Struthio camelus: one gene and its partners. The protein of the gene in region 3 interacts with the protein of the main gene of each other region in a pairwise test. Links are inferred from orthologs where the notes say so. Each region holds a gene or a part of one and is shown on either strand. Other genes may lie near its edges. The genes, in order: FTH1, KCTD6, SDCBP and NECAB2.

Region 1 (7,129 bases), on a different chromosome or scaffold from region 3:
ACAGCTGCTAGTACATAATGTTTCCTAAAGCAATGGTGATGCAGTAACTCAATTGGAGCAGGACTGAGACCACGCTTGGACTTTCAGAAAATTTTTGTGCCCTTGCCACTTCCTGGGGACGGCTGCTGTGCAGAAGATGAGCTGAGAGCGCTCATCCCGACTATATCAGCACAAATCTGGCTTCCATTTTTACAAGTTCAGAGTTTGCTTTCTGCAAATGTTGTCCAGCATCTGTTTAAAAATCATGTTTTCAGCCCACAGTCAGACCACTGCCAGAATTTGGATAGGTCATGTACGAGGAGGGCCCAGGTAGAGTCAGGATGAATTACATCTAAAGTAGATTTAGCAGTCACGGAAACTTTCCCTTTTTCACAGCTTTTCCTAGGTCTTACCCTGTGCAAAGTCTGTGCCACCTTCAAGTGCTCTTGCTGCATGGTGCTATGCACAGCTCTGTCTGCCCAAGTACGTATCGTGTCCTCTTCAGAAACGACCCTGAGCTCCCAAACTAACAGCCGGTTACTCTCGGCCCCTGTCTGGGGCTCTCGCTCTTTCTGCTACCGCAACACCCAGTGCTGAGAGGTGTGTGCAAACAGAGCCTTGGTGGTTTTTTTCTGCATCTAGGTATATCCTGAGCAATGTCAACCAGTTCTCGGACTTAATAATCTCCTGTATGTCTATGCAAACATTCATCAGAGAAGCTGAGGTTATTTTGCACACTTAAAATGATCTCTCCAGCTGTCATGTGAGGAAGCTAAGCGTTACTGTCCCTGAAATGCCTAGTGTTCAGGTCTGTGCTCTACACGTAATAGCTGAGCTGTAAACAAGGGAGCTGGCTCCATTGTTTCTGATGGGATCTCGGCCAAAGGAAAACAGAGATCGCCTTCAACAATTTGGAGCCCCTGTAGGCGGACAATGCGTTGACTTTTGCCTGTGGGCAGCACGAAGCATGCCTCTACTCCAGCCCGACCGAGCAGCAGCGCCAGCCTCTAGAAGCAGCTGAGAGTGGACATGAATTCAAAGTAAGGCTGCGGGTGCAGACTGCTGAGAGGATAGATCAGGCCCTGCGCAGCTGCGACGTTTGTGTGGGAAAGCGTACTGAAAGAACTAGTTGGGACTACCAGTCTCTTTTTTCCTGTATACACTGAGATCTTTAATCTTTTGGATTTGAACGAGAAAAGCCAGGATCCCCCACTAATTCTGAACAGTTTAATGAATAACGCTCAGGGGTTGTAATTAACTAGTAGCTACCGAAAGTAGTAGGGGACGAGACTAGGGTGCAAAACATTGTCAGATGTAGGGAATGATCTTGCAGTTGCAGAACGTGAATGTTATTTGATGTGAGGTCCAGCCTGACTACGATGATGCTTCTAGCAGGCTTCTTCCGAGGAACGCTCATAAATACATCCTTCAGGTAGAAAGGCTCAACCCAAGCCATAGTAGAACAGTATGGAACAAAGTCCAAGTTAAACACAATGTGACAGTAGTTTGGGGGAAGTCAACAAGTGAACAATCATCAGAAAAGGTCCTTGTCAAAGCTAACGCTAAAGTCTCGTAGGACCAGACGCTCTTCATGTTGGTCACCAAGCTATTATGAGGCATGGCCGTACCACCCGACGTGTCCTGTTCTGGCCAGGCGTGCTTTGCGTCGTTGAAGACAGCGTGTATGTTTGTGCAGTGCAATCGATCCAGAAAGCAGAACGTAGGACATTCCTCGTCTTCCTGACGTTTAGCCATGGCTGGCGCTGACTGTCCAAATGACAGAGGAAACGTTCCTTTTATTGATGGACTGCTCGCTCAACCGCTTATAAACTGTGCTGTTGCACAGCCTTTCATAAAACAGCGTAGTGAGGATTTATGTGGGCTTGACCATGACGAGATTGAAAAAACCAAACAGCAATAGCTTGCAATTTGTAAGCCACCAGGCAACTTCCTTCTGAGAGTTCCCGTGCGCCTTTGTCAATCACAGACAAAAAAGTTAAGTGGGAAGCAAACACAAACATAATTTAATTAAGAAATGGTTTAGTGCTTTACAGTTTCAGTATTAGTCTTGCTAGAATACTGAAACATACTTTTTCAATGAACTGCCAGTACAGAGGCCTGCCTGAGATCTGCCCAGCAGTTACTTCTTTTTTTTTTTTTTTTTAAATTTTATTTACATAAGCTTCTAGTTGGGAGGGGAACATAAGATTTCAAGTGAGAAGTACCCGGCAGCCTGCCAAAGCAATAGGTATAATCCACCTTAAGTTATATATCTAATTGCTTTTGATGCTTAACTGACAGAAGCAACGAAAACCAGTAAAGCAGAGGAAGACATGGGCTGCCTGTTTCCTTAGGACATTCAGGAACGCCTCTAAAACTGCCTTTGTGCTGACACAGGTCCCGCGCAGCTCTTCCCACGCAAGCGCACCCCTGTGCAGTCGCCCGTGGGAAATCACGCGTCACCGGGAAGAGCTGTTCAAAGACTGAATAAACATGGAAAGAACTGGTTAGAAGAAGAAATGGCATTTAATTATTGACAGTCCAGTGAGTAGTGTTGCCAATACCTGGGCTATTTCTGCTGAATTTCAACATCAGCTGTTGTTGTTAGTAAAGACCGAAGTTTTGGCAGCCCAGTGTTATCTCAATTTCCCTTTAAGTGGGCCATCTCTAGCCCTCCACGTTGCACTTACAATCAAGAGCCTGCTTGAATCTAGGAAATTCTGGAAAAAAAAAAATCTCAGAAACTAAAAGAACCCAGTGTTTATTGAAAATAAATGACCGCACAAACTGAATGATCATGGTAATACTGAAAGGAGCTAAAATAATGATCCTATTATCAGGTGGCTCAGTGTGTTCCTTTTGACCTTTGATTTCTCAGTTGCCTCTTTATTATTTGGCATTGTGTTTTAACTGGCTGTAGGCTCCTCTCCCAGGTCTCACCCTCATGCAAATCAAGCATCTGAGGGCCGATGCTTGGCCTGCTTCCTCCTCCTCCAAAAAAAAATAAAAATAAAAAAAAAACCCACTCAGCAATGATTGCTGCGGGTGCCCGTTGATAACTTTGAACCACCTTGAAGGGTGATGGCATCTTTCACCAGTATTTGTTCTTTCTTCCGTTGGGTTGGCTCGTTAAGGCTAACCAAGGACTTTGCCCTTTACCTAATGGTTTCTTACGTTCCTTCGGAGCAGTTTTAGGCCGCTGTCCAAAGTAGGGCACGGTCACCGAAGAAAGAAGTCTGGAAACTTCTCAGGTCTAGCCATTGACTCGCCTTCTGTTTTACTGCTGTGACAAGCCTAAGCTGCCCGCTGCCATTGACAACCAGCTGGACTTTATAATAAAATCTTTTCCAGTACAAATTACCACCTTCAGAATAAGCTGGGTGGGGGGGGCGGGAGGGAAGGAACCCGCCATAAACTGACTTCTTTCCTTCCAGCCCATTTTTGTTCCCCTCCATGCCGGCGTGTATTTATGTACCCAGTGAAAAGTTGTCCTCAGCCTTTCGGTTTTGAGCGAGCTTTCCACCTCCATTTCGGCAGTCACCCTGTCCCAGGGAGGGGAACGACGCGGTAACACCCGTGAGGTGGGACAGCCCGTCCTGCCTGGCGGTTTAGGCCACGGAGCCAAAAATAGCACCGGGACCGCAGCGTTTTGGGCCTTTCACGGGTTTCGGGGGGCCGAGGTGACGCTACTGAGGGGCGACCCTCGGCCTGCGCCCCCCCCCCTACTGCCGGGAGCCCGCCCTGAGGGAAACCGCCACCCCCCTCCCCCCCCCCGCCACAGGGCGGGCGGCCCACAGGGCTGTCGCCCCCCGCGGCCGTTGCACGACCGTTGCCCGAGCCGCGAGGCAGCGGGCCCCGCCCACCGCGGCGCGAGGTGGTGGGGGGAGGGCGGGGAGGGGAGGGGAGCAGGGGAGGTGCTGAGTCACGCCGGGCCAGCAGAACGGCGGCGCGCGGAGGGAGAGGGGCGGGGCTGCGGCGGGGGGCGGGGCGTCTTAGTGCCGCCCCTGCCTCCCCCAGCTCCTGGGGGCGCGTGCGTCGCGGCGCGAGGGGGGGGCGGGGCCTGGCGCGCGAGATGACGCGCGCGGGCGCTATAAAAGGGGGGCGCGGGGGGCAGCGGCGGTTCAGACGCGCCGGCGAGGCTTGAGCGGAGCGGGTTCCTGCGTCAACAGTGCTTGGACGGAACCGGCCGCGCCATGGCTACGCCCCCTTCCCAAGTGCGCCAGAACTACCACCAGGACTGCGAGGCGGCCATCAACCGCCAGATCAACCTGGAGCTCTACGCCTCCTACGTGTACCTCAGCATGGTGAGCGGCGGGGCAGGGGGCTGAGGGCCGGCCCGGCGGGGGCCCTCTGTGAGAGGAAGGGGGGAGGGGCCCTGCGAGAGGGGTTGGGCCCGCCCGTGGCCTTCGGGCCTGCCGGGTGTGGGGCCTCCCCCGAGGATGGGAGCGGGGGTGGGGGGGGAAGGCCGTTGCGTGCGGGATCCCCGCTCCGTGCGATACCCGCCGTGGGCCAGGCGTTGCGCCCCTTTTTTTGTCCGGGGGAGGCCGAGCCGGGCCCGGCCAGCGTTGGGTGCCCGCCGCCGTGGCGGGTGTGTGGTGATGTCGCACCCTCCTGCGGCAAGAGGCGGTGGCCGAGGCGGGGGGTGGTGGGGGGGGAAATCTCCGTGGCCGCCCGCCCGAGTGGGGGGGTCGCGGTGCGCCGGGCGGCGCTTCCCCGGGGCGTGCCCCGGCGCTCTGGGGGCCGGCTGGCTGCCTGCGCGTGTGGTGCGTTGTTTGGGGTGTGTGTGGTTTTTTTTTGGTGCCCTTATCTCTGCGGCGAGCTTCGGTTGCGCGTTAACCGCTCTCTGTTGGTCGCCCTTGGCTGACCTGTTATCAGCACAGGTCAGCCGCTGCCAAGCGGCTCTGCCCTTGGGGCTGGGCTGGATAGCGAGGGCTGCCTAACGAAGAGATTGGCACCTGTCCCACAGGCGCCCTCCTCCGAGGCACGGTTTTGCATTCGTAGTTTTGGAGTGAATTAGTAGGAAGCCATGGTTTCCTTGGAGCTGTACTTGCATGTCTCACTTGGTGCGAGACTCCAGTTTTAGCCATAGCTGAGAGAAATAACTTTGAGTCCAAACAGCAGCTCTGACCTCTGTGCAGCAATCTCGAGTCACCTGCTCATCTAAAGCACTGACACTTCCTAGTGATGCTGCAGCATGTTAGGGCATTCAGGTGAATAACTTCCCTGCTTGCTTGGTTCTGTGTTACTGTGAAGGTCAGACCCTCAGCTGCAAGCTGAATGTAACTGTGTTGGTGGGTGATAGTGGTACACAGGCACCAGTGTCTCTCCCTGAAGCTCCTACGCCGCTGGTCTAATGGTGGTGAATTCTGTGGCAGTTAGTCTTGTAAATAACTGGCAGCTGATACAAAGCTTTCCATTGAATCCTGCCCAATGGCTTTGACCAAAAAAAAACAAACAAGCTGTGTGGTGGCTTCTGACTGCTGGTACAGATGCTTTTTGACTTGAAGATTTGTCTGGTATTTGCTGTTTAACTCTGGCGAAATACATGTTCAACTATCTTTTCAAAGTGCTGCTAGCTTTCTTCAGAAGTAAAAAGGGAATTTCTCAGTCTGTTGCCTCATAAGCCCGATGAGGCATGGGAACCTTATCCCAGAAGTATCTTAAAGGCCACCTTTAGCTTGTGTTGAAGAATCCTAACTCTGACTCATGGTCACTGTTGAACACAAACAAAGGGAGCAGGGGGAATCTCTCCTTGTAGAAGAGGAACTTGGTAGCGCTACACTTAATTTGCTGTGTTGAGGCATTTGAATGGTGCTCAGAACAGGCATCTTTGGTCCCCTTCTGAATATACTTAAGAAAAGTTTGTCTCCATTTCCTCAGTAAGCAAGTTTTGCCGCAGTCCCTTGCTGTCATCACACTGCTGCTACCTTTAGTTTGGACTCCAGCCATCTTGATAAAGGGCTGGTAGGAGGCATATCTGAAACTGCAGTACTGACTTGGGCTTGTGTGGCTGCTGTAGTGAGGGTTTGGTTTTTTAGCATGTGAATTTTTCTTTTCAGTCCTACTATTTTGACCGTGATGATGTGGCTCTAAAGAACTTCGCTAAGTACTTTCTGCACCAGTCCCATGAGGAACGTGAGCATGCTGAGAAACTGATGAAGCTGCAAAATCAGAGAGGCGGGCGCATCTTCTTGCAGGACATCAAGGTGAGAGAAATAGAGCTGTGGGTGTTTCAGGACTGTAGCACAGAGCTAGACTTGAGGTCTGTCTTCAGGCTGGAAGGAGAGGAATCCCCCAGAGGATCCTCTTGCTGGAAAACACTAACAGTAACTAAGAATACTGAATTGCTGGGATTGGTGTGCAGTGTTTGAGCTGCTCAAAATCTAGAGATGCTAAACAAAAAAAGGGGCTTTCCTGTAAGAAGAGGTGCATACACCTAACCCTGCAGCAGTTTGCCCCCCCCCCCCCCCGGGGGGGGAGGGAGGAGCAGGGAAGAAGGAAGGGGGAAGGTAACTGTAACACACTACTTGCCTTGTTCTTGCCAATGACTTCAAGATAGGGCCTTCTCGGTTCACTAGACTGTTGTGTAGAGACAATGCTCTTTACTTCATGTTCCCATGGCAAGAGAGTCATATTAAGCTTCCAGTTTCTTGCTATGGCTTATTGCAAGACTTCATGGCACTGTTTCCTTGAAGTCACTTTAATTAGATTATTTAGAACAGCAGAAAGTAATGTTATATTGTTATGCAAGACTTAACTCTTCGTGGGGAAAATGGCAGAGTGAGTTGACAGACGTTTTCAGCAGAATCCTTTTGCTAGAAGTGAGTATTTGTAAAGACCAGACTTCCCTGTTCTGGTGTATAACCTGCTTTATTTCTGAGATTGTACCCATTGCCTACCTAGGTAGGTTGATGTTTAGGCTGTTAGCTTTTGATGGGAGGAGGAGGGCAGTAGTTCTGACTTAACTACAGGAGTTCACTAAACTGAATTTGAGGAGATTTTTAAGGGAATGTGGACAGACTTGGAACCTGCTGTGTGCAGAGTGTGCACTGTGTGGGAGTGCCAAGCTTTTTGAAGATGCCTTAATGCCTGAAATAGCTCTTGCTCAAAGAATGTGAGTGGAAGACACTTACTGGAGAACCTCAGAATG
Region 2 (7,077 bases), on a different chromosome or scaffold from region 3:
TCAAGTACAACCCCGACATAGCATGCAGAAGCAGTAAAACCATGAGAGAGACTGGAGTAGGTTTCTGGTGTTCATGTAAAACATTCGCTTGAAGGTAAAACAATGCAGCCATCCAGAAATTCCACTGATTATCATAAGCGAATAGAGCTGCAGTCTTAATATTAAGTTAACTAGAAATTACATTCAGAGTATTTGAAAGACGGATATCCATCAGAGTTATTTAAATGATTGGATGAATACTGTGCTATTTTGGCCAGCATCTGAGTCCCCAGTACAGATCAGTCAAGACGTTCTTTATCAGTTATCATTCAGGAAAAGAAACAAATTACATCTGCCTGTCAGTATGAAGACAGGAGCTAATGTTTGATCACAGCATCACTGCATAACACTGGAGCAAATAATTTATGAGAACAATTAGCTGAAACAACCCCAGCCTTCAATAAATAAGTGGCATCTAGAAGCCTCATTGATCTTTGTATAAGAGTCCAGAATCACTAGACACGCACAGACGTACCTGGCAAAGCTAGCATCGCAGCGAGACGCACAACGCAAACAGATGATCTAAGGAGGCCAGCCTGCGTCCAGACAGCAAAGAAGAGACGAGACGCACGCGTATCCCAACACAGCCTGTGTTTAATAATCATAAGAAATATTCATTTGAGATGAAATTTAGCCAGGTAAACTGCTGACACCATATAAGCCAAACAGAATATTGCTCTTTGGTGAGAGCAGAAGTGCACTGACTGAGTCAAACCACAGTCCTACTTTCCTTAAGCTCTTTTAGGGGGTGAGGAGAAGATAAGACAGTGTTAATACGGTCATCTCATTTTATCGCAGCATTGAGCGCATCCAAAACTAGAAAGTAACAACGAGAGGCAAGCGCCTTTGATGAAAAGCCCTCAAGTCATCGTGTCATGCTCAATATACTGAATGGGGGACCTGCATTTATAGAACTCTCAGTCTTATTTAATATTTTATGACTCAGAGGATTACAAGGCTATTTACTAGCAACATTACTGCAACAGTAGTCCCATTAACTTGATTAAGGCTTCTCCCATGAAGACAGCTACTAGCATGCAACCATTTTGCAGGCTGAGATTCAGAAAAAGCAAGTGAGAGTCAGCTGAAGGTCTGCATCTGTGAAAACACACACGTGGGTCCAACTCAGACCCAGGGGAAGCCAGCGGCATCGCCAAGCCTTTTTGCTGCTAGCACTGTGTATACTGCATTGGGTCAAGGGAATAGGTTATCACACTGCTCCTGGAGAAAATGACAGCATTTTTATCACATGCAGTTACATGGAGGAGGAGTAGAAATATACCTAATGCTTAGAAGTCAAGAGGCAGGCACCACCTGGTCTGCTCTAAATGTTTTTCATCCAGGTTTTCTAACAAAGGAATTAAAAGACTCGCTTTTAGTTCTAGTCTTCAATGGACGATTTGGTACCAGTGTTGTAGGACAAACTGTTTAACCTCAGTAGGCATCTTCGATTTCTAGGTCGAGACAAAGTTGACAGGAATTGCACAAACAGCAACTTAAAAAATTAAAAGGAGCAAAGCTAGCTCTGTACTTGTACAGATAAACATACTCAGTCTTTGAAGCTACTCACACCCACTCAGTGAGATCCTTGTCTCTGACATTTAGATCTCCAAGGATGAGAACCAGAACTCCAGCTCTGAGCACAGTTACGTTACATCTGTGAACAATCTCCCTGCTCCTGATCCAGTTACAGAGTTTGACAGGAGAGTTTTTACGGTAAATCTCTTATCACAGAGACACGTGAACTGACAAAAACTAAACTAGAACAAGCAATGACTCTACTCCACAAAACCGTGCAGTGAGACCACAGTCTATAGAGCGAGACCATGATGATACAGCACCACACTGCCTTAGCCGAGAAAGAGCGAGGAGGACATGTTGTCTTAAAACAAGTTACCAACTGCTCTGGTAATTCAACAGATTTGCTTCACTCAAGGAGGCACCCATCGCCTTCTAAACACATCAAACTTATAATGACTAAGGCAGTTCATTATAAACTAATGTAATCTTGTTTTTCCTTAGTTTCTTTTTAGTATACTTACACCTCAACTCAGGCAGAAGAATAAAACGCTCGCGCTAGCCACTCGGCATTTCATTGCCTTATGTCTAATTGCTTCACTACAAACTCCAAGCTCCCAAAGTTTTCTTCCCTCCGCTGAGGAGCTCCACAACATCCTGTTTCAGGTCCAGCTCCCAAACTTTCCTCGTAACCGCTCGTTCCTTGAAAAGCCCACGCCACGCCACCGCTTCGCCCTCACCTCACGACGAGGGCCAAGAGAAGAGACCCGTATCGGGCCCGTCCCTGCCGGCCCCGCGCTGCTGAAACCCGCCGCGCCAGCGCGCTCCTCGCCGCCCGCCACAACGGGGCGGGGTGCAGCCGTGTGCTTCTGCTTCCGTGGAACATCCACTCGCAGGTGCTTGCTCGGGGGGCCGCGGCTCCAAACGGCCCCGGGGCAGGGCAGCTGTCGGAGAGGCAGAGCTCCCCTGCGCACCAGGGCCGGACCAAGCGCGGGGCCCCAGCAGCCAGGGCAGGATGGTGGCACCTCCCTCCCTCCCTCCCTGAGAGGGGCCCGGGCCTGCACAGGAGGAGCCTGGGAAGTGCCACCTTCCATCACGGCGAGACTGCGGCAGCGAAACTGCCGCCGACACGAGGGTGATTCAGCACAGCAGCCGCCAGACACAGACCCGCGCTCCTCGCCTTCCGCCCCAGCCTTTCCTCCTTCCCGCCGGGCCGCGGCCCGGCCCCCGGCCCCCCCCCCGGCCGACGGCACGGCGGGCCCCTGCCCCAGCCGGGCCCACAGCCCGCTCAGCGCCTGCCCCACCGCCCCGGGGCCCAGGCGTCCTGCCCCCCCCCCCCGAGGACCCAGGCGGCCGGCGCGGCACTCACGGGCGCAGCTGCCAGCGCTGAGGCGGAGCCCGGCGGCGGCGGCGGCAGCGGCAGCGGCAGGGAGAGGACGACTGAGTTGAGCCCGGAGTTGAGCCGCCGCCGCGGGCGAGGCGGGGCGGAGGGGCGGGGCTCGCCGCAAGCCCCGCCCTCGCCTCTCGCGGCCCCGCCCCCCGGCTGGGGCAAGCGGGCGAAAGCAGCTTGGGCACAAGCGGGGGCCGCGGGGCGGTGGGGCGAGAGGGTAAAAGCGCTCAGAGCGCTTCGGCTCGGGGCAGGGCGGAGGGAGGGGGCGGGTCGAGGGAGGGGGCGGTGGGGCCAGGAGCCGTCCCGGCGGCCCCCCCCCCCCGCGCACAAGTTTGACCCTTGCGCCGCCCCGTAAACGCAGGGTGGGCCGGCGGTTGGCCCCAACGGGCCGGGCGGCCGCGGGGGAGCGGAAGGGGCGGTGCGCCCCTGTTCTCGCGAGAGCGCGGGGCGGGCGCGGCGGTTGCCGGGGCGCCGAGGGGGCGGGGCCTCGACGTCACTGGCGGCGCGCGGGCCTGCCCCCCCCCTCCCCTCGGCGCTAGAGGACACGGGCAAGATGGCGGCGGCGGCGGCGGGGGCGCTGCGGCGGCTGGTGCCGGGCGGGCGGCAGGTAGGGCCGGGCCCAGCCCCCGCCGCGCCTTGCCCGCCGCTCAGCTCTCACCGTCCCCCTTGTCTCCGCAGGGTCCCGCCGCCGGGCGGCTGCTGCAGCTGCGCAGGGGGATCCGGCTCTCGGCGCCGGCCGCCATGCAGGTACGGGGAGGGGGGCGGCGGGAGGCGGGGAGGAGGAGGAGGAGGAGGAGGAGGGGGAGGAAGGGGTGACCCCCCCCCGGGGTGCGGGCGGTGCCCCCGCTGTGCTAGGGTGCGTGTGCCGCAGGTGACGGTGCGAGACGCGCTGAACCAGGCGCTGGACGAGGAGCTGGAGCGGGACGAGCGGGTGTTCCTGCTCGGCGAGGAGGTGGCGCAGTACGATGGCGCTTACAAGGTGAGCGGCCGCAGCTAAGAGGCGGGGAGAGGCCCTCCTGCGGGCCCTGACTTCTCTCCTCTCTCTCTGCAGATCTCCCGAGGCCTCTGGAAGAAGTATGGGGACAAGAGGATAATCGACACGCCGATATCGGAGGTACGGCTTCGCCTGTCACTTACCCTGCTCGCCCTTCTGCCTGCTGCTCCCAAAGGCTTACCCTTGGTTTCTTTCTGTTTAAGATGGGCTTCACAGGAATTGCTGTTGGTGCTGCTATGGTTTGTACATTTAAGTTTCTTTACTCCTGAATTAAACTCTTTAAAACAAGCTCTTTTTATGTAAAAAGGCACTAATATATATCCTGACTTTAATAGGCTGGGTTGAGGCCAGTGTGTGAATTCATGACTTTCAACTTCTCCATGCAAGCAATTGATCAGGTCATAAACTCTGCTGCCAAGACCTGTTACATGTCTGCAGGATCGATCTCTGTGCCCATCGTCTTCAGGGGCCCCAACGGGGCATCAGCTGGGGTCGCTGCTCAGCACTCGCAGTGCTTTGCTGCTTGGTATGGGCACTGTCCAGGACTGAAAGTTGTTAGTCCATGGAGCTCAGAAGATGCGAAAGGTCTGCTTAAAGCATCAATCCGGGATGATAATCCAGGTGAATACACTCAGATCATGGCAACAGCTAGCATTAGTTTTTTTAAAAAATGTCTCTTCATGTTTCCCCTCACATCCCATTTAAAAAAAAAGAAAAAAAGTTTAAAACCCTAAAACACTTAGGACTGCTTTACTCTAAGGTAACTTGCAAAGGCACAGAGGAATCGATTCTGATACTTGACACTTTCCTGAATCATGTGGCTTGCTAGTAGTAGACTGTAATTTTGTGCTAGTGCTTTAATCCTAATTCGGTACCAATCTGGGAAGAAACATTTAGGAATCTGTCATAAAGGAATTTAAGAGGATAAAAATCAGTCAGGGAGGAGTTCTGCATATATAGTGTCTGAGTACGTAACTCATTTTTACAGATCTTGAAATTCAGATGTTATGAATATCATGCCATTTTCTGAGAGCAGGGCAGCCTCAGTTTTCCTTCCTCGTAAGCATGCATGCAAAATCTAAGACCTTTCTAAAACTAGCAATTCTGCAAAAACAGTCTCTAGACCATGACCCCTCCCATTTTCATTTGATCTAGTTGGAGTTGTACATTCAGTTCTATAAACTTTACAATATTATCTTTTTTAAAAAACAGAGGCTTTGTACGTCAGTTAGCTTTATCAACCTAGTTTGCCTAATTCACAATCCTCATGATTTTTTTAGAATAATTCTAAGGACCTTAAATTTTGTATTAAGACCTATTACCATTATGCACCACAAGCTAAATGCTCAGTCCTGCTTAAGACCAATTCTAATCAATTAATTTAAAATTTAAAATAATTCAGTAGTGAAGTCAAAACTGGGATTTTTTTCTCCCCCTACAAACATATTCAGCTCCTAGTTGAGGTAGTCTGCTCTAGTGCTATTATCCTCAGTATAGGCCTGTGCTGTAGAACTACAAAATAATCCAAGTAAGTTTTGTTCTAGTTGTGATGCTGGAGAATGAACTGCTGTATGGTGTTCCCTTTGAATTGTCAGAAGAGGCACAGTCAAAGGATTTTGTTGTTCCAATTGGAAAAGCCAAAATAGAAAGGCAAGGTAAGCTGAGAACACAGTTAATATATTCTTACTAACTGAACTGCTTGGGGAGATTTTTTTTTTTTTTAAACTTTTACCGACTTAAAACACTACTTTCACAGGGAACAGGAATACACTTCAAATGCTAAATGTTATTTTATCCTATGGGCTCTGTATTTTTCTGTTCTCTTTATAAAGTAAGATCACTTGATATTCTTTGTCCCGCTGTCCTGCTTTCAAAAGACTTCCTTTCTCTATAAGGATGGATTAGGTAATGCCTGGAAAACTTCTTTCTCCACTTGAGAAAGTAGTTGTTGGGGTTTTTTTTCTAAAAATGCAAGGGAAAGCACTGTAGGTTTTCAGCTTGTTCATAATTTAACACTGAATTACTTGAAGGTTTAAAAGGAATAATCTAAGAAGTATATTCGATCTCTCTTCAGGTCCCTGAATTCAGGGGTGTAGTTTGTGTCTTGACATAGTCCTTCCACTGCCATTTTTCACGCTGTGGCTGTAGAATTCCTTATATTTATTTTAAGTGCTAAATACTTAAATTTACCAGAGAATCCTAACATTACCTTAAAAAGAGCACGGGGGCTAGAGGAAAAGTTTAAGTCTCTCTCTCTCGTTTCTGTTCTAGGAACTCACGTTACTTTAGTGTCACACTCGAGACCTGTTGGACACTGTTTGGAAGCCGCTGCTGTACTCGCCAAAGAAGGTGTAGAGTGCGAGGTGTGTAGGGATTTTTTTGTTGCTTTCCCCTTTCCATGGACTGGAAAAAAAGCAGCGTGTCTTGTTCAGGCCCATTGGTAAATGCCTTCATAATCAGTGAACCAAGCATGTTTCGTGTTTCTGCATTTGACCTTTTAATCACAAAATTAATGTTTAAAGCTCTTCTGCTTATTATCATACAGCTAGGTCCACTGAACAGTACACTATATAAATCAGCATGGCTGGATCTAGATATAGCAAGACTCATCTATCTGGGATTTTCCAGGAACCATCACAAACAGTTCCATAAAAAGTCTGCTGGGATAAAAAGTTTGTAATTTTGTTGACTTTTAAGTCTGATCCTCAAAGTCAGAATAGCTGAACGTGACAAAGGACGTGGTACCCAACAGTAGTAACTGACAGGCTTAGATCATAGCAAAACTGATTCAGTCCCTTTCTTTTAAGGTTATAAATCTGCGTAGCATTCGACCAATGGATATTGAAGCAATAGAAGCCAGCGTTGTAAAGACAAACCATCTTGTAACTGTAGAAGGAGGTTGGCCGCAGTTTGGAGTAGGAGCTGAAATCTGTGCCAGGATCATGGAAGGTACTTAATTTTGCAACATCCCTGTTGATCTAATTTGTAAGTCTAAATCCTGATGACTTTTTCATAAACTGCTTGATAAAGCCAAGAGCAGATAATGAGATAAGGTCAAGTTGGGGTCTTTTATCTGAGGAGCTGGAGCTTAGCCATCTCATTGTAGAGATGGTCACAGGGTAGAAGCTGGTCTGCT
Region 3 (7,077 bases):
TTTGATAAACTGTGCACACATGGCCTGTTATGCTGTACGAGCTAATCGTGACTGATGCCTTTGTCAAACTGTTGAAACTAAACCAAACACAAAGAGCTTCCAGGTCTCAACTATAAATTAAGCACTCGCTTTAAACTGTTTTTTGGTTTTGTTTTTTTTTTTTTTTTAATTCTGTTTTAAGCCAGCGTTGACATGAAACGGTCACTTGTTTTGACTCATCCAAAACAGATAACAGCAAGTGCAAGCCCAAGTCCAATGAAACCGTCACTCGGGTAAGCAGTCCTCCAGACTTGGCATTCTGCTGCCGCTATCTCTAAAACCATCCACAACACCAGACACACAATTACTTCTAAGCTACATCTGTGCTAGCAAATTTAAACTACAGGTTCAAGCACTGACACAGTCTTTCAAAATTAGCATAGTCCCTGGCACTGCGAAGGCTTGCTCCCCACGGATGGCAAAGTCACCCTGCTTTAGGGTGATGAGGGAAGGGAAGGGAAAGAGTTCTGCTCAGAGTGAGCTAACGACTTCATATGCTAGGCAGAGAACAGCACAAGGTCTGTTGAGTTGTGGTCCCAGTTTCCACAATCTAGTTACATCTCCTCCTCCATCAGCTTTAATTTTTCCTCCACGTGCCACTTTCACTCCACACTGCGATTCCTGGTCATGTTTGTCACAGAGGGCCATATCTTTTTCTAATTTACCAAGAGGAGCGTGGTACTTCCTGTAGGAGAGCACTACCAAAGCTAAACCTGCATTTGTTCTCTGATCATTTAAGAAAATATTCCAGGAGTTTATCCTGCTGTTTTACAGTCATATAGGCCACCTTGTCTCCTCTGCTGGAAGTTCGCAAAATACAAGCATTCGTCAACATTACTGAGGAGCTGCTCTTAGCTTCCTGGCTATAATCTTAATGGTTACTATAAGTGAGTTTCTAAATAAATAGCTAGAATAACTGTCACCACTGTAATTACATTTAGTGAGTATGTATCTTTGTTGCTTTTATGTCAAAAAGGAGTATTTTCCATTTCTGCACCAGCAGTTTTAACACTTAACTTCCTTTAGCTAATTACAGGTCACATACGTATTTAAGACGACAAAAAACAGTGTATTTAGTTTAGAATGTAACCATTTGATAGCCATTTTCACCATAAGAGACCACCAGTAATCTTGGGAACAATCTGTCTATGACTTGTACCTCATGTTATCCACAGTATAAATAAGAGTTTAAACAGACCCTGAAACAGCCTTAGACAGAAGCTAGCAAAGGGAGCTACCACAAAAAAGGAGTCATTAGCTTCCTTTCCTCTCAAAAATCTACAGTTATTTGCCTTGATCTATAGAATCATTTGCTTTGATCATTCATACACTCCTAAATCTTGTAAAGAACACACGTAGTAACCTAGAAAGCGTAGAAAAGCAGAAGTGAAAACAGAAAAGAGTGGAGCAGAAAGGATGGAGTCTTAATTCAGCTAGCAATCCCACAAAACTCTTCCGCAAAGCCTTCTCCACTTTTCTGTGCATCTTTGGCTTGGAAATGCTGCTACGCAGCAGTAAGCACTTCTGACTAAGTAGGTCTTATTTACTAAAGGAGAGTAACCAATCACCGGCCTGAGGAACCCATGGAAATACAGCACTCGTGATATCCTTACGCTATCAGCAGGAAGTTTTAGAGGCAGAAGTAATCTCTAACACAACAAAGTGGCATAGCTGGAAGCAGACAGGCTTTCAGACGCATTTTCCAGGTCTGAAATGACAAAGCTAAATGCAGTTTAAGAACCGAACTTTGAGGCTGACCAGCATGTAGCAACTGCCATCTCTGAAAGGAGCAGCAGCCAGCAGGACTTGGGGGAAAGGGGGGGGGGGGGGCCCACGGGGAGAAGGAGGCATTTTATGTGTTTTATGACTATGGTATATGGAGAAATTACTGCAGGCTGTAAAACTGGTACCTCTATTAAGCACTGGCTTTGACTTCCAGAATAGCTAGAAACCAATGAACTATAAATTCATCTTTAAAGGAGAGACAGGACAAAACAGCCTGAAGGTCAGGCAGAGTACATCAGGAATAGGGCAGATTGTCTTGCAAGACATGTTCTCCACGAACAACCGAGGTTTGTTTGTTTTTCCCCCCCTTCTGATACATGTCTGATTAGCTTTAGAGCAGTGGCTCTCATTTTGCACTTAGCCCCAAAATCTGCTGCCTCCACTTCCAACCCGAAGAAAGGCTCCCCAGAAAGACATCCATTCCACCCCCAAAACAATACTAAATCGGTCTAAAAAGAAGGCGTTACAAGCACCTACAAACCTTCCCACGAACGCACTGGAGCTAGCGGAGAGAGAAAGGTCTTACAAGGAGCCTGAACGAGGAGCCAGAAACCACCCCCCAAAAACGAGCCTGGCTCGTAACAAAGAATCAAAACCACCCCTGGAGCCTGATTCACAGGCCGCCCGAAGCCAGAGCGGGCCAGCACACACGCAGCCGGTTCGCTCTTGGCTTTCAGCGCCGGCAGGACGAGCGGGGGCGCTTCTAACGCGGCGGCGGCGCAGCAACAGGCGGCGGCGGCTCCCTCCGAGCCGGGCCGCGGCGGAGGCCGCCCCGGCCGCGGCGCGACATGGCGGTGCGGCGGCGCCCCGCCGCTGAGGTGGCGAGGGGAGGGGAGAGGGGAAGGGACGCGCCGCTTCCACAGGCGGAAAAACGAAATCGCTTCTCGGCTCTCGGCAGAGCCGACTCTCCCCGGCGGCGCCGGTGGTCCGAGGCGGCCGCGCTGCCCCCCGCCCAGCCCCTCCACGGCGTCGCCATGGTGCCGGCGGCGCCGCTTCGCCTCCGGCGGGAGCCGTTAGCGCTGCTGCCGCCGCCGCCGCGAGCCCCCACCCGCCCCCGCGGCCGGCCGGGCCGAGCCGAGGCGAAACGGCGCCGCCCCGGGCCCCGCACACACAGGGCAACCGGGGTGGGGAGAGGGGGAAGAAGTCCGGTGGCGGTCGCAGGCCGACAGCCCCCTCCTCTTACCTCAACCCAGGCCGTTCGCGGAGGGACCTCAACGCACGGAGGGAGAGCGGCGGCGGTGGCAAGAGCAGCAGATCCCGGCGTCGCCGCTATGAGGGGCGAGGGGGCGGTGGAAAAACTGGGCCGGCACCGCGCATGCTCCGGCGGCGGGAGCCCATGACACGGCGGCAGGGCGGGGCCGGGCGGAGCCCGGGGGCAGCGGGCGGCCGGGCCGGGCCGGGCGGAGCCGGGGGGCAGCGGCCGCTGACGCTGACGCGGGTCAGGGCGGCCGGGTCGCGGCTGGACTGCGGGGCTGCCCCGAGAGACGGGCTCGGGCTGCCGCCTTTCCTATCAATTCCCCCCCCCCCCTTTTTTTTTAAATAAAATGTATTCTATATGCTTTATATCATTACTGATTGTTTGGGGTTAGTCCTTGCTTTTTTTTTTTTTTTTACTTTTTTTCCTCCTCTTTGTATATTTACAGCTTTCAGCGGTGCAGAGGGCCCTGCGCTCTCGTCGCCTCAGGTGCGGCTTAGCACCCTACCTCGGCCTTCTCCGACCGGGAGACAAGGCACGTCTCTTAGGGGAACACCCTAGAGAAATCACGATTTAAAATACACTAGTTACAGGAAAATTCCACTACAAACTAGGAGAGTGGCTCTTATACTTGACTACTGTAGTTATTGCGCTTTTACCTTATTTGTAGCGTTAACTTCTCCAGCATCAATTGGCAGTCTTCTAGATCCTTCTTTGCAAGACTACCTGTGGTCAAAAAGTTTGTTCCGCATGGCGGGAACTATTCTGATCACCCCAGAGTTTCCCCTGGGGTAGGAAACGGCAGGGTTCGGGGAGCTGGTCGGACCGTACGCTGGCCCTGAGGAAGCAGCTCTTGCTCTGGCTTCCAGGCTCTTTCCCCTGTCCTGCAGCTCCCAACTGACCCCGAGCCACTTCCAACCACTGCCCAGTGCTTTTGCAGGGCAGTTCAACTCACTGATGCAGCAGAAATTGAATCCCCGAAAGACGTGAATGTTTTTCCTCTGGGCTAGTGAGCTAAGCTGGCAACGAAAGGATCCCACAAGCTCTGGTGCCAGGGCAGGGGAAGGGAGGGTGTTGCTGGAAACAGGAGAAAAGAGGAGGAAGAGGAAGGAAAGGGAAGGTCCCTCTCTTTTAAACAGCAGCAAGCTGTTACGTCATTTTCCACTGCCTAGGAAATTACAACTGTATTTAAACAGATTTTGTTATAATACATATTTTTCAGCCCTCCTAAGCTTTTTGGATCTCTCCCGTTGTCAGCATCTTTGGTGAGCATCACAGGGCTGCATCGTGTTCTGGCAGCAGTCACAGCAGCGCTGAATTTGGAGATACAGCCTCTGTCCAACCACTCAGAAGGTTTCTGGTTTTATATCGAATTATTAGCCAGGTCTGCCACCTTCCTAAGTACCTTAACCTTTGACTACTGAGTCATGCAACTACAGATCACTAGATATATTTATAAGTGCAATTTCGGGCCTACAGTATGAGTTCACAAAAATTCTGTTAGGTACCTTTTGGGCAGGGAGAGAGAGAGGGAGGGAATCTAGCTCTGGCTTAATAGGGACAGATAATTATTGCTTTTGTAGTGCTAAATTTTCTCTGTAGTCAAAAATGATTTTTAATATAAATGAAAGACTTAAAAGTGTGTATGCTCAGAATGAGAGTGTAGCTTTTCATCCCACGGTGAGCTCGGTGGGGGTGAAGCCCTGTGCCCAGCCTGGGTAGTGGTGGTCATCAAGAGCATGGTAGTGTCCGTAAAGCATGGAAATAGCAGACGTGTGATTGACTGAAGCACTTAACACGACTGTGCATTGTCCACATGGCGCAACCCTGCTGAACATTGGTGCTGACAGCTGAGGGGCAACATCTTATTTCATTTTGACTTCGAATGCCCTTCTTGTTCCAGAGGCACTGCTCCTTTCTCCAGAAAGCTAGGTTTTTATTTGCCTTTTGCTGCATTACTTTATCCCTTGTCATGATCTTTTGAGACATTCACTATCAAGGTAGCAGCATTTGTCTGTAGATGTCAGACCTGCGTTGTCAATGCACATGTCTTGATTTTACCCAAGAGGCTGTAATAGAACATGCTTTTATATATATTTTATGTTTATATGTTTATTTATTTATAATATATATAATATATATTCTATGTAATTTTATATAACATATTATCTATATCTCAAATATATTTATGAATAAATATATATAAGAATAAATATATATAACATTTATATTTTATTTATAATGAGGTTCTAGCCGAAACACTGGACTCCATACAGTCTGTTATTTGTTGGGCTTAGTTTGTGTGCACTATTAAAAACACACAATATAAAAATAAGCAAAGACCGATCACAGGCCAGTAGCTCCGTATGGTAATGGAAGTGAATTTCATTACCTTCATCTCCGAACATATCGTGAAACCCAACTTACTCAAGGTTTTAAAGAAGAATGCTATGAAGATGCAGCCTTGCTTAAGACTACTACAGTCTTGAATAGAGACTACTACAGTTTTGAACTGAGAAAGATTAACCTTGTTATACTGAAAAACATTCTTAAAATCATTGTTCATTTAAATATAGAAATGAAACACAGCAAAACACAAATATAATTATTAGGAAAAGGCTCTGTCTAATCTGTGCAGCGAATGCACCATTTGACATGTGTCAGGGTCTTGATTCTTTGAATGCAGAGACCAAAGGGTCCCACTGTCCAAAAAGTCTGAGTTTCCTTCCCAGGGAAGCTGAGACACGGAAGGGGATGGCATGTTCCTCAATCTCTTTGTGAGGTGAACTCAAAATCTGGGACAAAGAAAACACTTTCGTGCTCCAGAATTAAGACGTTGGCAGCAGAAGGGCGTGGTTGTGCCTTTCTATGAACTCTGTGGCGATTGGGGAGCTCTAAAGAATCGGAGCTAAAACACTTACACAAGCAGCTCTCGATTAGTTCCTGAAGTATTTGCAGAAAGCATTCCAAGATTACCTATTGTTTGAGAGAAGTGGAACAAATGGCAAAGTTATCAGATTTTACTCACTGACATTAGAACACCCATGGGCAATTACGTGGTAATTTTCCAATTGTCAGTATGCTGTTATTTTTTTTACTAGTCGTATGCCAACTTTCAAAAAATAATAGAAACCACCAGATCAGTATCAGTGTTAGCAGCTGCAAAACTCTTAATAAAATAATACATGCTAATCACTCCAAAATTCACATTTCTCCTTTGAAGCTGGAAGTAAATTGTGCTTGTGTTCCTTAGGAAGCTCTCCACCCCTGCAACAATGAGATGTTATAAATGGTCACTCAAAACATGTACAAACTGTGCAAGAGAGCACCCTGGCAGTACTAGGAGTGGAATAACTGTATTAAAGAGGTTCTTTGCCTCTAATTAGAGTGTGTTGGAGTGAGTTAACTGATCCTGCTCTCAGCTGTGTGCAAAGAAAATCCTAACGTACTGTTTGTGTTTCTCGAACAAAGCAGCTCTGAGCCCTTTTAAGTAGCTCCCTGGTGCTGCATTGCACTGGGCACTGAGACACTTCTAGAATTTGTGAAGAATTTTTGGAGTTTGCGCGTAGAAAAAAGAATTCCAGAGCGAAAAAAAACCTGTCATACAGAATAAATTACGTTAAAAGAGCTTCACCCAAGTCAAACATTTAACATTAGAAACTAACAGAATTAAAATTGCCTGAGTCACTTTGTTTCTGACTCCCTGTTCATGCGTCAAAGATCTAGTCTTTTTAATACAGTAGAACATATTATTTCCACTCTCTTCTCATCAGCCCGTGGAATGGATGGTGCTCAGTGAATGTACAATTTTCCAGTGTTCAATTTGCAGTTCCGTACCTGATTTCCTGCCTGCTATTCAAACTCCGCTGTAAAGATGGCAATATTAATGTTGTCACAGTCTTCTGAGTAACACTCCAATGTCTGACTGCTGTGCAAGCAATTATTAATATTTTTTCTACTGTGTTTCCCAAAATATTAACATATTTCCCAAAATATTAATATTATAACAATATTTAATATAAAATATTAAACATATTATTAATATAAACATATTTCCC
Region 4 (7,995 bases), on a different chromosome or scaffold from region 3:
CCCGTGGGGCGGAAGCAGCGTAAGTCACGGCTGGCCAGGTAAGGCCAGCCGCGAGGCGAGCCACGGGCAGGGGAGCCAGCTAGGGAACGACCCTTCGGGCCCTGCTGGAGGAGGGAAGAGATGCTCCCGGGTCACGATCGGACTTTCTCAGCAAAGGACAAAGCAGATCAAACACAAAGGTGCATCTGACCGGAAACGGATAGTACCGCTTTTCTAAGGGGCTTGTAAAACAAAGACGGCAAGCGATAGCCACGAGACGCTGTATCGCCGCTGACGAAGCCGGAGACACAGGAGGCACGCGCATCCCTCGCTCAGCCCCAAGCCCTTCAGGCGTTTTGCCCGACACTGCAACAGCTGCTCCGGAAACGCAGACTGACGTTGTCAAGATTGCCAGAGGGAAACACCCCCCACCGCTGCTTGCCCTACCGCCACCAGCTATAACCCCCAATAACTTTACTTGCTGCCTATTTTAGGGAGTGCTTAGTACTTAGGTGTCTTCTCCATCAGTTTATTACTTGAGGTTTCAAAAAGTTAGTCTGCAATTTCAGCTGTTTTTACACACCGAATCCCATGATTGAGCTGCGCTAATAAACATTACTCAGTTTTTTCCTCTTTTTCTAATCCTTTACCTAAAAGGACACAAGCACAAAGAAGAAAAACACTGAAAAAAATAGCCTTAAGCTCAGTTTCATCCTCCAGGCAGCAGCATGCACGTGGATGGTAGACACCGTCTAACTCCCGGTCCCGTTTCACTCTTCCTCAGCCCTCGGTTTTGCTACACAACAGCCACCGGTTTGCTCCGCTGGTGGGAGAGCGCAGGGTAGGAGACCTGCTACCAACCCGTCAGTCAGGCTCTGCCTCTCCCCCTTTCCCTGCTCCGTGTCCGCACCGCGCTCCTGTCCCAGGGCGCCCCGATCAAGGCTGACACCACGCACAGTGCGGTCCCTCCACCTAAAGGACCTGAAGGAGTTGGACGGGAAAATGCGCTTGAATCCTCAGGGGTGAGAACGCGAGTCTCGATACCTTCCTGTTAATGCGTGAAAGTTCACCTAAATGCACGCTCCCCCCCGCTGATAAATTCTTTGCATTAAAGGCTGGTCTCATAGTGCACATGAAGAGCCCGGTATAATAAAGCCGTGGCTTAGATTTTCTATTATAACTAGAGAGAAGAAAGGAAGAAGAGAGAAGCAAGTTTTCAGGGGAAAGAAACCCCAAACCTCACATTTCCAACATCTATTTCTACTTTCAGCAGGTCGGAAAGGGCTCTAAGTCCCATCGTAGAAGGGGAAAAGGGTCGGGAGCTGCACACCCAGATCCATTGCATTTCCCAATGGGGAAGAAAATTCTGAAAGTTCGCTGTTCATTTTCTTAGCTCAAACCTCAAAGAAGGAAAAAAAAAATCCTTTTAAAGAAGGTAAAGTTGAGCAGATAAGATACTGTCCTGGTAGAAAGAACAACCCTAACTCACAAAGTTTTTGAATGAGCCAAATTGTTGACTTCCAATTGTATTTATGCTCTCAAGACAGACACCAGCAATCTTAGGGCAGGCTGCTGTTAGACTACATGAAAACGCAGGGGAAAACAAAAACCCAAAGAAAGAGCAAAGTTAACTTAAAAACCATAAGTGCAATCGTTACTTTTGTCTTTTTCGTTGCTCCATCAAGCACCATTTCTTTACTGCCCGCAGCAGCCTGCCTGCCGGTCCCGTTGCGCAGGGCACGGCCACCCAAGGGTCGCTCTGCTCTCCAAGCTGCTTTTGGCAGCTCGATAAGACGCAGCCAGACCAGTTCATCTGACGCACCGTAACGCCTGTGAGTCCAGGACTGTGAGTTTTGGACTCCCCAGCCCATCTCTGCCAATGCCAACCACAGAAAGTGCCACACTTCAGCAGGCTGTTTAGAAAACGCAAGGGTTTGCCTGCAAGAGATACTGTTGCCTAATGCTCGAGCAGGAGGAAGAGAGTGCGAGTTATCCTTTACTACAACCAACACCATCAGTAGCTTATTTTTGAATTCACTACATCGCTTTTTTTTTTTTTAAGCTAGAAGATTGCAAAACGGAGGATGTGCATGTTTAACTATTAGATGCTACTGACAGAAAGACTATGGAATTGCATCATGTGCACTCCGGTTTATCCCAGCCCATTCTCCTAATTCCACGTAAGGACAAATAGCCTCGTTAGCCCCCTGATTTGAGAGGTCTATGAATAACCACAGCTGAGGAACCAAGTGCACCCCCGCCCGTCCCCCAAACCCGAGTAAGGGATCCCCCAATCTGATGCGTTCACAGGCATCCGGGACTGCGTTGCCTGCCTCCCCCGACACGGTCCCCAGAGCCGCAGCCCCCCCAGGGGGCCGGGGTCCTAGATCTGGGTGCGCTCCCACAGCCAGCTGCTGTGGGGTGCAGGACCGGAGGCAATGCAGGACCCGGGTGCACCGTGGTGCCCAGCCAGCCCGGGGGATCCCGGCGTGTAAGACCAGCGAGGGGAGGGTGCAGGAACAAGACCCAGGGTGCATCCCCATTCCCAGGCTGCCTGAGCAACACCAGGTGGGGGCAGGACCAGTGTGCACCCCCCCCCCCCCCCCGCCCCGTGCCTAGCCGGTCCGCGGACACGCAGGACCTGGAAAACGGGATGCAGGGCTCGGAGCGCACCTCCATCTCCAGCCTGTCTGGGGGGATGGAGGGCTCGGGGAGGGCGCACCCCTACGCGACGCAGCACCCGAGGTGCACCGCCAGCGGGACGCAGCACGGGGGGAAGCCCCACGCCCGGCCAGCAGCACCTGGGAAGCACCCCCATCCGCAGCCGGCCCGGAGCGGGGCGGGGGACGGGACACGCAGGACCCGGGCGGCCGCCCGCCTCGGCGCAGCCGGCGCGGGGCTCACTCACATCGAGGATGACCGAGGTGCCCTTCCTCTGCGCGGCGGCCGGCTGCGGCAGCTGGCGCTCGGCGCCCTTGTCGCTCATCTTGGCGGCGACCCAGCGGAGCAGCCCGTCGAGCCCGCGCGGCGGCGGCGGCGCCTTGCGCAGCAGCCTGTGCACGCCGGCCCGGCAGTAGCGCGCTGCCTGCTCGCACATCGCTCAGCCCGGCCTCATGCCGGAGCCGGGGACTCCCCCCCCCCCTCCTCCTCCTCCTCCTCCTCCGCCTCCTCCTCTTGGCCACGCCGCCCCGACGGCGGGCGGCGGGCGGGCACCCCCGGGGCACTCCTGGGCCCCCTCTAGGCGTGCCCCAAGGACGGGTTGGTTTTTTTTTTTTTTTTTTGGGGGGGGGGGGATGGATGAAATCGTTTCACGTGCTCTGTGTGTGCCCCCCCCCCCCCCCACCCTGCACCCGCAGACGGGGTGCCTGCTTCGGGTTTAGATCCAAAAATGCCCCGAAGCTTCAAAACTGAGAGCCTGCTGCAAAAAATATAAATTAAAAAAAAAAAAGGGGGGGGGGAATGGGGCTGGCTTGGTTTGGAGAGCTCTCCAATTTCTTGTTCAGTTGCTATTAAGAGTGCAAGCGAGCATTACAGCTGAATCCAGTGACCTCTTTTATAGCACATTAATGCAGCGCTTGAAACCTGTTTGCCAGGTGAAGCTGGCCCGTGCCAGGCACAAACGCAGCACGCTCGCCAGACCCTCTCCGGGCTGCTCCCGGGGCCCCTGCGAGCAGGGGGGCCAGCGAGCCCGGCGCTCCTCCGGGAAACACCATCGGCAGTTTCCCGCACCGAGCTCCGCGCCCCGTCTCCCAAGAGGTACGGCATCGTTGCTCCGAAAGGCCTGATCCACCACGGCCTAAGAGAGAAAGCCAGCAACAAATGACTTGTTAGAAGGTATATACCAGATTGTGCCCCCTCATGTCCCGAATTACTCCACTCTTTTTGGCACTTAATCCTCAGACTATTCATATGCTTCTTTCCCCTTTAGACGTCCCTCTGCTAAATGGCTAATTCAGACTATGATTCACACACAGGCTAGGATTGCTCTATGCTTAAGTTACTTAGGACAATTTACTGACTAAATTTATAAGTGAGGTTCTTCTGTGAACTTTCCACGTGCTATGAAAATTCGTTATGCAGCTTGGAAGTTTGGAGCTACTTCGGTGTTGTCAAAATTATTTCTTACTAATATGAAAAACAGCTCTACCTCATTTAAATACTCTCAGTAGCTCCCAGTAGAGCCAGCGAGATGCTGAGAGCTCATTTCCAAGCCTCGCTGGCCGTACCGTTACGGGTCTGCGTTACCCTGCCAGCTCCAGAGCTCTGGCCAGGGCTGTAATACTTTCTCCCCATTCCTGCAGCACTGACTAAGCTTCTGCAGCCAAGGGCAAGGCCACAGGACATGTAGTACCAGCACGAGAGCTGAGAGCAGTCTAGAGCCCTAGCGGCGTTTGGTTTTCCATGCCGCTTTGCTAGTGGGGAACTCAAATCCTGGCTGACAGCAGTAACGGCAAACTGCAACAGAAAAGCCGTTTCAAGGCACCGGCTGTAGTTTTCTCCTCCTTGACATTTAACCATCCACCTCCCCTTGCTGCGCTAACCTGGCACACGTGTGGCTCCAGTTTGCTGCAGCTTTATCACTAGTTAAAGGCTCGTCAGTACAGGATTGGCAAAGTTAGACCTATCCTCCCTCATTCCCAGTTCCAAGTTCAAGAACCTCCAAGAACTCCCCCGAAAAGGCTATTGCCTTTCCCGTTCCACATCCGCCGTGGGCCCAGCAAAACCTTTCCTCTGAGGTGCACCTGGTGCTCAGTACACAGCATTTGCAGCTAGAAGTTTTCTTGGTTTCCCGGTGTGTCACCACCATCACCGTTTGGTCTACGCGCCCTAAGGTAACGCTTATCTGGGTGCTACAGCCAATGCTTTCCAGCAGCTTCTGGAAACCCTAATCACATGCTGCCATTTCAAATAACAGGCCACCTAAAGAACCCGATAGCTTTCGTAAGAAGAAAGGTCCAAGCCAGATCAGAAGACCCACCAGCATCACCACCCGGCGGGCAGAGAAAGCCACTTTCATCTCCCTTTTGAATCACGCTTCTCACCACCGCCACCCCAAACACGCACGCAGCGGGGAGCTTCATTTAATTAAAAACCTCCAGCAGGCAGGGCCTGCAGTCCCACTTAGCACAAAATGTCAGATGGGACTTACTAATATTTACTAACGACCAACAGAGTGAGTTGAACCCAGCTGTTCAGTCGCAGGGAGAGGAAACGGCGAGACGGGCAAGAACGGGGCAGCGCAACCTCACCCTCCCGGGCAGGGGCCAGCCCAGAGGCTGAAAGGCTGTTTCAGCCCCTGCATTAGTTTATGCCAAGGCTCTTTGCTGTAATGCAACAAGTAATCAGCAGGGATTTTATAACAAATTTTACACCTCGGCTCAAAAACGCCAGGCTGTCAGCAGCGCCCACCGAACGCACTGGTCCAAACTGAAGGAAGAGACGTGGCGCGATCGTGCACGTGCACAACATGTATGCCCACCTCTAAAAACACACGACGACGTCCTTTGCAAAGCACACCGTGCCGCTGGCCCTCACCGCGGGCTTTCGTGGCAGCGGCAGAGCCCGGAGCCGCAGCAGCGCGTCCTTGGGCTGGGACCTGTAGGGAGGCGCCGCGGGCCCCGGAGTCACAGATTTCCAACCCAGGTGCTGTCTTAAAGGCAGGGACAGGAGCACGTATAAAGCTTCAAACGCACCTCTTCATGTAGCGTCAGCATCACAGCGCTGGGCCAACTCTTGCCTTAAGATGCATTTTGACCTTAAACTCAACTAGAGCCGTGCTCCAACCAAGGTTAAGCCGGTGAGCAAAAAGCCCCCGCTAAACTCTCTTTTGCACAAACATCCCTTCCCGCGACAGGCTGACGGCAGCCGTTCTGACCCCAAAGGGCTGGGTGCACCCCCCAGAGGTGGGGACATCAGCGGGAGGCTGAGCACAGCGCAGCAGCGGTGCTGCCCCAGCTTCGCCAACAGAAACGCTCTGCACCAAGCACACAATAAAGCACGGTTCCTGCACCTGTAGCAGATCCTACTGCTCCTACCCCCCCCAATTTCCCCACAGCTCCAGGAAGGTTTTCCAGAGTAGTATGGGGGGGGGGGGGGAGAAGAAAAAAAATTAAGATCCCACCAAGTGCCCCCCACACAGAGCTAGAGCAGGGCTGCAGGGCAGCCCCAAGCCCCCACCGGGGCCACCCAGTGACAGCCACCACCATTTAGCAGAAACTTTGAAAAAAACAGACCATGTGGTTGCTTTGGGGCTAGCGCAAGGTGCAGGGAAGCAGGGGAACAACATCACAAACAAGCAGCAGCAGACAAGTGGGTCACTAGCAAGAAGACACCTCCAGGGATGAACCTCTCCACTGCAGCACCACAGCTGATGAGTGACTTTATGGCAGGGGGAGTTAAGGGGATGATGTTACACAGCTGGGTTGTCCTGGCAATTGAGGAAAGGAGCACTTCACACCGAAACCCCTACACCCTTACTTAAAGTTACAGGCAGCCGGCTTGATAGGGCTTGCGCTTGGGCCGTCCTAGAGAAGAGATAACTCTAATCCCTCTTATTTAAGGGACCGTTCCTCGATAAACCCACGGAAACGTTGCTCCCCTTCAACGCGCGACCCGGGTCAGAAGTGTTAAGGAGCCACGGCGTAAGCGAGTCCGCTTCTGATGATCTTCTGAAACTGCCCTCGGTTTCTCACGCTCGGTGCGCCTCGTGTCGGATCGTACGTGATAGTATGAAAAGTGCAGAAATAAGGAACTGCAGCCCGCAGGGTTTTACAGTTACGGGAGCCTGAGTGTGCACGTGAGCGTGCTTAAACAACCAGCTGAGTTATTGCACCTAAATAAATTGTTGCCTGCTTGTAAGTGACCTCATGTGTCCTCGTGTGTTACTGCAACGTAAAACGGTTAATTTGCACCATTTTGATGGAAAAACGGTGTCTGCAAATGGGTTGAAAGGAGCACTATCAAGCTGCTTTGAAGCAAAAGGGGAGAGGGAAAGGCATTTCTTCCGTTGCTGGTGCCCATCACAAGTCACTTCTGAAGTAATTTCCTCCCACCGTGAAAGACAACAGCTCATCTCTTCTTGCAGTCGGGCAGCTGAGGCTCAGCTTCCCCAGCACCTGCTAACAAGAAGCTTCAGGTAGCTCAAGGCATTTGCTCATGTGTATAAATATGCAGCAGCCTTACGGGCTTGATAAGTGAGGGTAAGCCCTTGGGAAGAGCAGCCCTGGAGACCCCAGGGCTGTCTGTTAAGCAGCACGTGGGGTTTCGGAGCTGCTGCGTTGGCAGAGTTAGTCCAGCCCACGGCACTGCGCTGGCCGGAGCTGGGCTTCCAGCACGCCAAGAGCCAGCGCCACTGTGAACAGGTCCACGCAGAAGAGGATGGGGCTGCAAGAACCGTCTGCGCCCAAGAGAGCAAAAGTGGTGCCTCCCTCTTTTTGCTGATATTCAGTTTTAGTATCGCCTACTCTTTCCTGCTCTGGTCTGTGCCAGCTGCTGTTCGGAGCGAAACGCCCCAAGAGGCTGTTTGCAGCCTCCAGTGGAGGAGCAGTATGGATTTTTCAACTTGTCTTGTGGCACCCCAGCCATGACAAAAGCCTTCATCCCTCACTACAGGGAGGAATTTCTGGCATTTCCTTCCTCACGCCTGACTTTTGGCTCCACAGGCTTGATCCCTGGTCACTCTACTCCTGTACATGACGCAGGGGTGTCAGATAGTTTCACGCTTGCACTGGCATTTGCTGTACTCTCGTGCCACGCAGGGGCTTGCCTTTCTTCTGCAATAATTTAGCCCAATATTCCTGTTGCTCCTGAGAAGCAGACACTAGCCGGAAAGCGATGCCCTCCAGCCACGCGCTCCGAGCAGAGCCAGCCCTAACCTGGGCCGGGGCAGAGGGCAGGGCTAATCCTTAAAAGACCATGAGCTGCATTACAGCTCACTGGGGCAGAATGAAAGACCTTAAGGTAAGTGAGAATAAGGTCTTATGTCCTTAAGGTAAGTGAGAATAAGGTCGTATGTCC

What was found.
Region 1: the proteins of SDCBP (region 3) and FTH1 interact in a two-hybrid assay, tested with the Homo sapiens proteins (2 studies listed by BioGRID and IntAct). The two-hybrid records come from large-scale screens. The link is inferred for Struthio camelus from reciprocal best matches to the Homo sapiens genes SDCBP and FTH1.
Region 2: the proteins of SDCBP (region 3) and KCTD6 interact in binary tests that used the Homo sapiens proteins (3 or more experiments, as listed by UniProt). The two-hybrid records come from large-scale screens. The link is inferred for Struthio camelus from reciprocal best matches to the Homo sapiens genes SDCBP and KCTD6.
Region 4: the proteins of SDCBP (region 3) and NECAB2 interact in binary tests that used the Homo sapiens proteins (3 or more experiments, as listed by UniProt). The two-hybrid records come from large-scale screens. The link is inferred for Struthio camelus from reciprocal best matches to the Homo sapiens genes SDCBP and NECAB2.

The regions. Positions count from the first base shown.
Region 1 is NC_090946.1:7,331,628-7,338,756, reverse strand, and holds the start of FTH1 (ferritin heavy chain), read left to right. Parts: upstream 1-3,963; 5' UTR 3,964-4,172; coding exon 4,173-4,283; intron 4,284-6,038; coding exon 6,039-6,185; intron 6,186-7,129. UniProt on the Homo sapiens protein: Stores iron in a soluble, non-toxic, readily available form. Important for iron homeostasis. Has ferroxidase activity. Iron is taken up in the ferrous form and deposited as ferric hydroxides after oxidation. Also plays a role in delivery of iron to cells.
Region 2 is NC_090955.1:10,380,290-10,387,366, reverse strand, and holds the start of KCTD6 (BTB/POZ domain-containing protein KCTD6), read right to left. Parts: upstream 3,192-7,077; 5' UTR 2,927-3,191; intron 2,775-2,926; exon of another isoform or gene 2,298-2,774; intron 1,388-2,297; exon of another isoform or gene 1,322-1,387; intron 628-1,321; 5' UTR 515-627; intron 506-514; exon of another isoform or gene 1-505. Other genes in the region: PDHB (pyruvate dehydrogenase E1 component subunit beta, mitochondrial), read left to right, coding at 3,501-3,554, 3,626-3,694, 3,819-3,926, 3,999-4,061, 4,145-4,180, 4,277-4,562, 5,486-5,596, 6,213-6,304 and 1 more. UniProt on the Homo sapiens protein: Probable substrate-specific adapter of a BCR (BTB-CUL3-RBX1) E3 ubiquitin-protein ligase complex mediating the ubiquitination and subsequent proteasomal degradation of target proteins.
Region 3 is NC_090943.1:135,811,571-135,818,647, forward strand, and holds the start of SDCBP (syntenin-1), read right to left. Parts: upstream 3,147-7,077; 5' UTR 3,008-3,146; intron 2,329-3,007; exon of another isoform or gene 2,306-2,328; intron 1-2,305. UniProt on the Homo sapiens protein: Multifunctional adapter protein involved in diverse array of functions including trafficking of transmembrane proteins, neuro and immunomodulation, exosome biogenesis, and tumorigenesis.
Region 4 is NC_090951.1:21,304,715-21,312,709, reverse strand, and holds the start of NECAB2 (N-terminal EF-hand calcium-binding protein 2), read right to left. Parts: upstream 3,110-7,995; 5' UTR 3,077-3,109; coding exon 2,888-3,076; intron 1-2,887. UniProt on the Homo sapiens protein: May act as a signaling scaffold protein that senses intracellular calcium.